Arabidopsis thaliana: one gene and its partner. The protein of the gene in region 2 purifies or fractionates together with the protein of the main gene of each other region. This does not show direct contact. Each region holds a gene or a part of one and is shown on either strand. Other genes may lie near its edges.

Region 1 (3,754 bases), on a different chromosome or scaffold from region 2:
CGGTGCGGGTGAAAAAGGAAAGAGATATTAGTAGAAGTCCTTCAAAGAGTTTAAGCAGAAGTCCACTGAGGAGCCCCAAAAGGGTCATCAGCAGAAGTCCAGTGAGAGGTAGGATTGCCAGAAGCCCTAGCCGGAGTCCTGTAAGATCTGCATCTCGTGGAAGCCTTGGGAGGGGCCCACTAAGAAGATCGTCAAGAAGATCACCTAGCAGAAGTCCAGTTCGATCTTCTAGAAGAAGCCTGAGCCGGAGTCCTATTCAATTATCTAGAAGAAGTCTGAGCCGGAGTCCCACTCGATTGTCTAGGAGAAGCCTAAGCCGGAGTCCCATTCGATCACCTAGGAAGAGTGTGAGCAGGAGTCCAGTCCGATCATCTAGGAAGAGTGTGAGCAGAAGTCCGGTTCGTTCATCCAGGAGACGTATCAGCAGGAGTCCAGTCCGATCATCTAGGAAGAGTGTGAGCAGGAGTCCTATTCGATTGTCCAGAAGAAGTATCAGCAGGAGTCCTATTCGATTGTCCAGGAGAAGTATCAGCAGGAGTCCTGTTAGAGGAAGAAGAAGAATTAGCAGAAGTCCAGTTCCGGCAAGGAGAAGGAGTGTGCGGCCTAGATCTCCTCCTCCTGACCGCAGAAGAAGTTTGTCAAGAAGTGCTTCTCCTAATGGGCGCATAAGGAGAGGGAGAGGATTTAGCCAAAGATTCTCATACGCCCGTCGATACAGAACTAGTCCATCTCCTGATCGATCTCCTTATCGCTTTAGTGATAGGAGTGACCGTGACAGGTGAATAGCCCACACATAATATAACTCCCCCTTTCTGTTACACACTCTCGTACTGAACCGTCTTTTTTATAACGTCTTCTCTGTAGATTTAGAAGTCGCAGAAGGTTCTCGCCAAGTCGGTTCAGAAGCCCACTAAGAGGAAGAACACCTCCAAGGTACTTATCCTCTTTAGTACATTGTTTCAGCTGATTCTTTACATCTAAAAGTTTCATGAATATGGAACTAAAATTGGTGATCCAAAAGAATTATTCTTGATTTCACAACTCGAAAGTATGCTCAGGTATAGAAGAAGAAGCCGCTCAGTATCGCCTGGTCTCTGTTATCGCAACCGGCGGTACAGCCGCAGCCCTATCCGTAGCCGATCTCCACCTTACAGAAAGAGAAGGTCACCATCCGCTAGCCACAGCCTGAGTCCATCGAGGTCAAGATCAAGATCAAAGTCATATTCAAAATCTCCCATTGGGACGGGGAAAGCAAGATCAGTGTCAAGATCACCATCCAAGGCAAGGTCTCCATCGAAGTCGGATTCGACATCCTCGGATAATAGCCCAGGTGGGAAAAAGGGATTAGTAGCCTATGATTAATGAATAATGATTACCCTTAAGTTAAGTGTTTGTTCTTTTTACTGAGAAGAGATGGTAAAGAGAGTAAGTAGTTTACTTCTGTAAAACATAAGCATTGTCTTTTGCGTATGTTTGTTTGATTATGCTCCAAGATTGTTAAAAATTTCTGTTGATGTTTGCCGACATTTTTTCTTTGTTGCCATTTGCCGACAAATGTTAACTTCCATTATTCGTTGCGGAGTTGGTTTTGGTCCAATAATTAAACTTTCATAAAATTAAGCATAACTAAATGTGACGTTTGTCACCAAACTTTAGAACAACGACATCGTAATTTATTTATTTGGATAATCAATATAATTTACGATTTCTTCCTACATATATATCATATCACTATACCACCGTCATTATCACTATCACTAAATATAAAAATGTTAAAATGATTTCTTAATGGAATTTTTTTTGTTAAAAGTTTATTGACACAAAAAATGAATTAAAACTCAGAAATCTGTATACTGAATTAAAACTTGTAAATATAACAACAAAATGGGATTAAAAAAAGAAGTGGCATCCATTTAAAAATTATTTGCGAATTCGCCCGTAACTTCTTAAGCTAACAATTAGAACCTAATCAACACTAGTTATTTTGAGTCCACCGACAGGTGATAGCAAATAAAAAAGAACAGGCTGGTACCAGAGCCAACAACAACGTGGCTTCTTCTTTTTTTTTTTTAATATAATCAAACAATCATACTTTGTCCTATCTCTTTCTTGCAATAAGATTTTGCCACGTCACATACTAAGAAGCTGGCGCGTCTAGTGGGGAAGCCAGAACGGCTCACTTTAAAAAGTAGAGAGATGATAACTTGAGCCGAATAGAGCCGAGCTGAGCTAAAACGGTGGGAGAGGAAGAGGCTACTACTACCGTCACCATCTCCGGTAAAATAATGTACTTGTCATTTAAAAATTAAGAAAAAACACATCACTCTGCGATAAAATAGGCAAAAGCAGATTTGAAGAAGAAGCAGCTTGAGATATCAAATAGAGAGAGAGAGTGACAGAGGAGTGTGTGAACATCCTTTTTTAGTAGATTTGGGTTTTCGAGATGCCGTATTGAATCGGCTACGAATTTCCCAATTTTGAATTTTGTGAATCTCTCTCTTTCTCTGTGTGTCGGTGGCTGCGATGGAGGCCAGTGCCGGCTTGGTTGCTGGATCCTACCGGAGAAACGAGCTCGTTCGGATCCGACATGAATCTGATGGCGGGGTCTGTTCATCTTCCCTTTTTCCCATTTTTTTGTTATTGTTTTTCGTTCTTACAATTTTTGATGTGTAGATCTCATCTAGATTTCTCTGTTTCTAAATCTCGTCTCTTTTGGATCCATAATTGGATCATTGAAACTCAGATTTCGCTTCCTTTGACTGTGTAGTTAGTTAGTGTCAGTTGATCAAGTAAGTGTCTGAAAATGGAAACTTTTCTGCTCCAATTCTTCAAATTGTTGTGATCTATATCAATTAATGCCGCATCTGTTTTCTTAAAATCTCTTATGGAAAGTGTCGGTGGATTTCAGTTCGTTAACTTTTTTAAGCTAAAATCTTTGACTCTTAAAGTTTAGCTTTACTTATTGAGATTTAGCTCAACTAGATCTCGTTAGTTCCCGCCATGGGATACAGACTGTGACTCGCCTTAATTCAGATCTGCATTGATTGTTTTGATTTAGATCCTTGCTCATCTCTTTCTGTAGTTTCTAATACTCAATGACTAACAATGATGCAATGTTGGTCAAAGTGCAGACCAAACCTTTGAAGAATATGAATGGCCAGATATGTCAGATCTGTGGTGATGATGTTGGACTCGCTGAAACTGGAGATGTCTTTGTCGCGTGTAATGAATGTGCCTTCCCTGTGTGTCGGCCTTGCTATGAGTACGAGAGGAAAGATGGAACTCAGTGTTGCCCTCAATGCAAGACTAGATTCAGACGACACAGGGGTCAGTTGTCTTTTTCTTTTTGTTGGCAATTGCTATATATGGATTTTCTCTTTTTGTTTCTTTGCTGTTGTGTTGAACAATTTTTTGGAATTTTCCAGGGAGTCCTCGTGTTGAAGGAGATGAAGATGAGGATGATGTTGATGATATCGAGAATGAGTTCAATTACGCCCAGGGAGCTAACAAGGCGAGACACCAACGCCATGGCGAAGAGTTTTCTTCTTCCTCTAGACATGAATCTCAACCAATTCCTCTTCTCACCCATGGCCATACGGTAGGGACCTACATTTTCCCTTTAGACTCTAGAGTGATTTGTATTACTCAATAAATCCCTAGAGTGGTCATTTATTACTTACTATTCACGTTAATGTTATATGTGAACAAATCTTAACAGAATTTTTTTCTGATAGTACATGGTCATCCAAATTAA
Region 2 (3,754 bases):
ACAAATCAAGTTTGGTTCTCTTCTTCTTCTTCATAGAAGTACGATCTTAGGATATCTCTATATACACACATTTTGCAGAAAAAAAGTTTCATCATGCTCTATTTGCCTAAGAAACTCTTCTTGTTCTTCTTCTCGTGCATTGTGGTGATTGTCAACTACAACAATAGTGACTTCGTAAACGCAGCAAATAGCATTGGCTTCGTAAACGCAGCAAATAGCATTGGCTTGAACTACGGTCTCCTCGGAGATAACCTCCCATCTCCGTCAAAAGTTATAACCCTTTACAAGTCCATAGACATCACTAAAATCCGAATCTTCGACCCAAACACTGAGGTTCTTAACGCTTTACGTGGCCATCGTGATATTGCGGTCACAGTAGGAGTTAGGGACCAGGACTTGGCTGCTCTTTCAGCTAGCGAAGAAGCTGTTAAGGGCTGGTTTGCGACCAACATCGAGCCTTACTTATCCGACATCAACATCGCGTTCATTACTGTTGGTAACGAAGTCATCCCCGGACCAATCGGTCCTCAAGTGCTTCCAGTCATGCAGTCTCTCACCAACCTCGTCAAGTCAAGGAATCTTCCTATCTCGATAAGCACGGTGGTGGCTATGTGGAACCTCGAGCAATCATACCCACCTTCCGCAGGAATGTTCACGTCTCAAGCGCGTGAACAACTTGTCCCCGTGCTGAAACTATTATCCCAAACAAATTCGCCTATCCTCGTAAAAATCTACCCTTACTTCTCCTATGCGTCCGACCCATCTAGCATCCGTTTGGACTATGCCACCTTCAACACTGAGGCCATCGTGGTACAAGATGGATCACTGGGCTATTCAAACATGTTTGATGCAATCTTTGATGCGTTCGTGTGGGCAATGGAGAAGGAAGGCGTTAAAGATTTACCAATGGTGGTGTCCGAGACCGGATGGCCATCTGCCGGGAATGGAAACATTACCACGCCGGATATCGCGGGTACCTATAACAGAAATTTCGTGAAGCATATAGCAAGCGGAAAAGGTACACCTAAAAGGCCTAACAAAGGCATCGACGGGTTTTTGTTTGCAACTTTCAATGAAAATCAAAAGCCGGTCGGGACTGAACAAAACTTTGGGTTATACAATCCGAATGATATGAAGCCCATCTACAATCTATTCTAATATGTGTGAAAGTTGCTTAGACTTTCCCGATTCATCAATAATTATGTTACACTAGTTGTTAGTGAATTAAAGTAAAACTAACAGTGATATATACACATACTATAAGCAACTGAGATGATGAGATCTCGTCGCGGAACTTAGTTGACTTTTGTAAAATTATTATTATTTAAAAGCAATTTCTCTGGTTTAGTAAACGTACTATGTTTCTTCATATATTTTTTTTTCTTCTAAAATCATTCCATTATGTTTCTTCATCTATTAATACAAGAGTATGCATTTTCAAAATAATACTTTTTTTATATATATATGCAAACCAGTGTTTTTTTTATCAAAATAAGAAATCACTGTCCCAAAATGATTCAATAGTTCAAGGTTTTATAAAAGATTTCTTAACATTTATAATATAACTCTTTTTGTCAAGATATGAAAAATGAAAAAGTATCTCTTATGATTAAGACAGATGTTTTGATTCGTTCATATTCCATTGAACTATATATATATCACTCAACTAGCCAGGTATAATATTTCCCATTACATACAAAAAAAAATGATCATGAAATTAATCAATTTATAAATGTTGGTTTTTTTTTTTTTGGTTAACACTAAAACCAAAAAATAAAATAATGTTGGGTTTTGTTTGACAAAAAAAAGTTAATGAAATGAATGAACGATAAGAATTGAGAGCAAGTCTGTCTCTGACCCGTCTTAATCCGATTCTTAGTCAATTTTTTGAGTTCGTCAATCATATTCTTCTTCTTCTTCTTCCTCTGATTCCCCCAGAAAAAACCTAGCTCCTTCCCTCATTTCCCCCCAAATCTCACGACTTATTTATGCTCGGGGGAGACTAATCAAAGGTCAAAATCCATTAGGGAGGGAATCGAATCTCGATCGATCTCAATTTCTTCTGAGAAAAGAAAAAAATGTCATCGGAGATTGAGGTGGTGGAAGAAATCCAATCGAATCCCAAGGAGAATGGGGAATCGAGTTCTAAAGGGATTGAAGAAGAGAGCTTGAAGAACGATGTCTATACTGCTGCCGCTTATGGTGATTTGGAGAAGCTTCATAGATTGGTTGAGTGTGAGGGTTCCTCTGTTTCCGAGCCTGATGCTCTTGGCTACTATGCTCTTCAGTGGTCTGCCTTGAACAACCGCGTCGCCGTTGCCCAGTACCTTATCGAGGTTTTGTGTCATTTTACGAATTGTTTGTTGATTGCTAAATTAGATTTGAACTAGTGGTTTTCAAGTTTCTAAAACTGATCCTTCTCGATTTCTGGTTTTTCCAGCATGGTGGAGATGTAAACGCGACGGATCATACTGGACAGACTGCATTGCATTGGAGTGCTGTTCGTGGTGCGATACAAGTTGCAGAACTGTTATTACAAGAGGGTGCAAGAGTAGATGCAACGGATATGTATGGCTATCAGGTTCATATCTCTTCTTTAACTACGCGTCCATGTTCTCTGCTGACTTCTATCAAATTTCCCTTCTTTTCTTGTTTAGTTCTCAATGGGTGTATGTTAATACTTAATTTTGAACTGCTTGTAGGCAACACATGTTGCCGCACAGTATGGCCAGACTGCTTTTCTTTGTCACGTTGTCTCAAAGTGGAATGCTGATCCTGACGTGCCTGATAATGATGGAAGAAGCCCCTTGCATTGGTATGCTTGCTGCAAAGCTTGCCTTCGTGAAATTGTTACTTAGTAATTGGTTTTTGGCTTCTTTTTATTTTTTCTTACAATTGTTTAGCCTTGCACGCTTATTTGGAGACTGGATAATTGGTTTTATTTGTTCCCTTTTCTTATTATTCCTATAGATTTAATATCTCTTCGTTCAATTTTGTTCTAGTTGCCAAGTATACTGGGTGGATTAGAATTAATTTTTGTCAACTATTTGCCTATGATAGTTCTCGAGTTTTTGTTATGAAGATTTGTGAATACGTATTACTGTTTTCCATCTAGAGACTAAGGTTACATAGGTTATTTTCTCTCCCGTTTTTCTTACTGAGACTTCGTTACCGTTACATGGATTATTCTACTGCATGATTTTTAGCTTTCTTATGTTGACCTTTTGATTTTATCCTATTTTTACAGTATCTTTTCAGAAGACAGTTCTAATTTCGTCTTTATATTCTTCTCATAATTTGAGAAATTCAGGGCTGCATATAAAGGTTTTGCAGATTCCATTCGCCTACTTTTATTTCTAGATGCATATAGAGGACGACAAGACAAAGAAGGTGGTTACAAACATATTTTTTTTTTAAATCTTCTTTGTTTATTTTCTTAGATTAACTATACGTTTCTAACATCTTCTCCGTTATATTGATTCTGTTATCAGGTTGCACTCCTCTGCATTGGGCTGCCATCCGAGGTAATTTGGAGGCTTGCACTGTCTTGGTGCAGGCTGGAAAGAAAGAGGATTTGATGATTACTGACAAGACTGGGCTAACCCCTGCGCAACTTGCTGCTGAAAAGAATCACAGACAAGTTTCTTTTTTCCTTGTAGGTATCTGTTTTACTTGTTTGTTGTGTAGCAATATGTATTCATACTGTTTGATTTGATGCTTTCGTAGTGGCTGTACTGCTTGCAATAATTAGTAG

Evidence for each region. Proteins that work in one complex are often made in the same cells at the same time.
Region 1: the proteins of TIP1 (region 2) and CESA1 purify together in Arabidopsis thaliana (affinity purification with western blotting, with the first as the bait; one study listed by BioGRID). This does not show direct contact.

What each region holds. Positions count from the first base shown.
Region 1 is NC_003075.7:15,645,158-15,648,911, reverse strand, and holds the start of CESA1 (cellulose synthase 1), read left to right. Parts: upstream 1-2,067; 5' UTR 2,068-2,523; coding exon 2,524-2,604; intron 2,605-3,131; coding exon 3,132-3,327; intron 3,328-3,425; coding exon 3,426-3,598; intron 3,599-3,754. Other genes in the region: AT4G32420 (Cyclophilin-like peptidyl-prolyl cis-trans isomerase family protein), read left to right, coding at 1-778, 865-933, 1,059-1,362. UniProt on the Arabidopsis thaliana protein: Catalytic subunit of cellulose synthase terminal complexes ('rosettes'), required for beta-1,4-glucan microfibril crystallization, a major mechanism of the cell wall formation. Involved in the primary cell wall formation.
Region 2 is NC_003076.8:6,874,694-6,878,447, forward strand, and holds the start of TIP1 (Ankyrin repeat family protein with DHHC zinc finger domain-containing protein), read left to right. Parts: upstream 1-1,747; 5' UTR 1,748-2,078; coding exon 2,079-2,336; intron 2,337-2,440; coding exon 2,441-2,581; intron 2,582-2,702; coding exon 2,703-2,815; intron 2,816-3,310; coding exon 3,311-3,390; intron 3,391-3,491; coding exon 3,492-3,655; intron 3,656-3,754. Other genes in the region: BG5 (beta-1,3-glucanase 5), read left to right, coding at 94-1,158.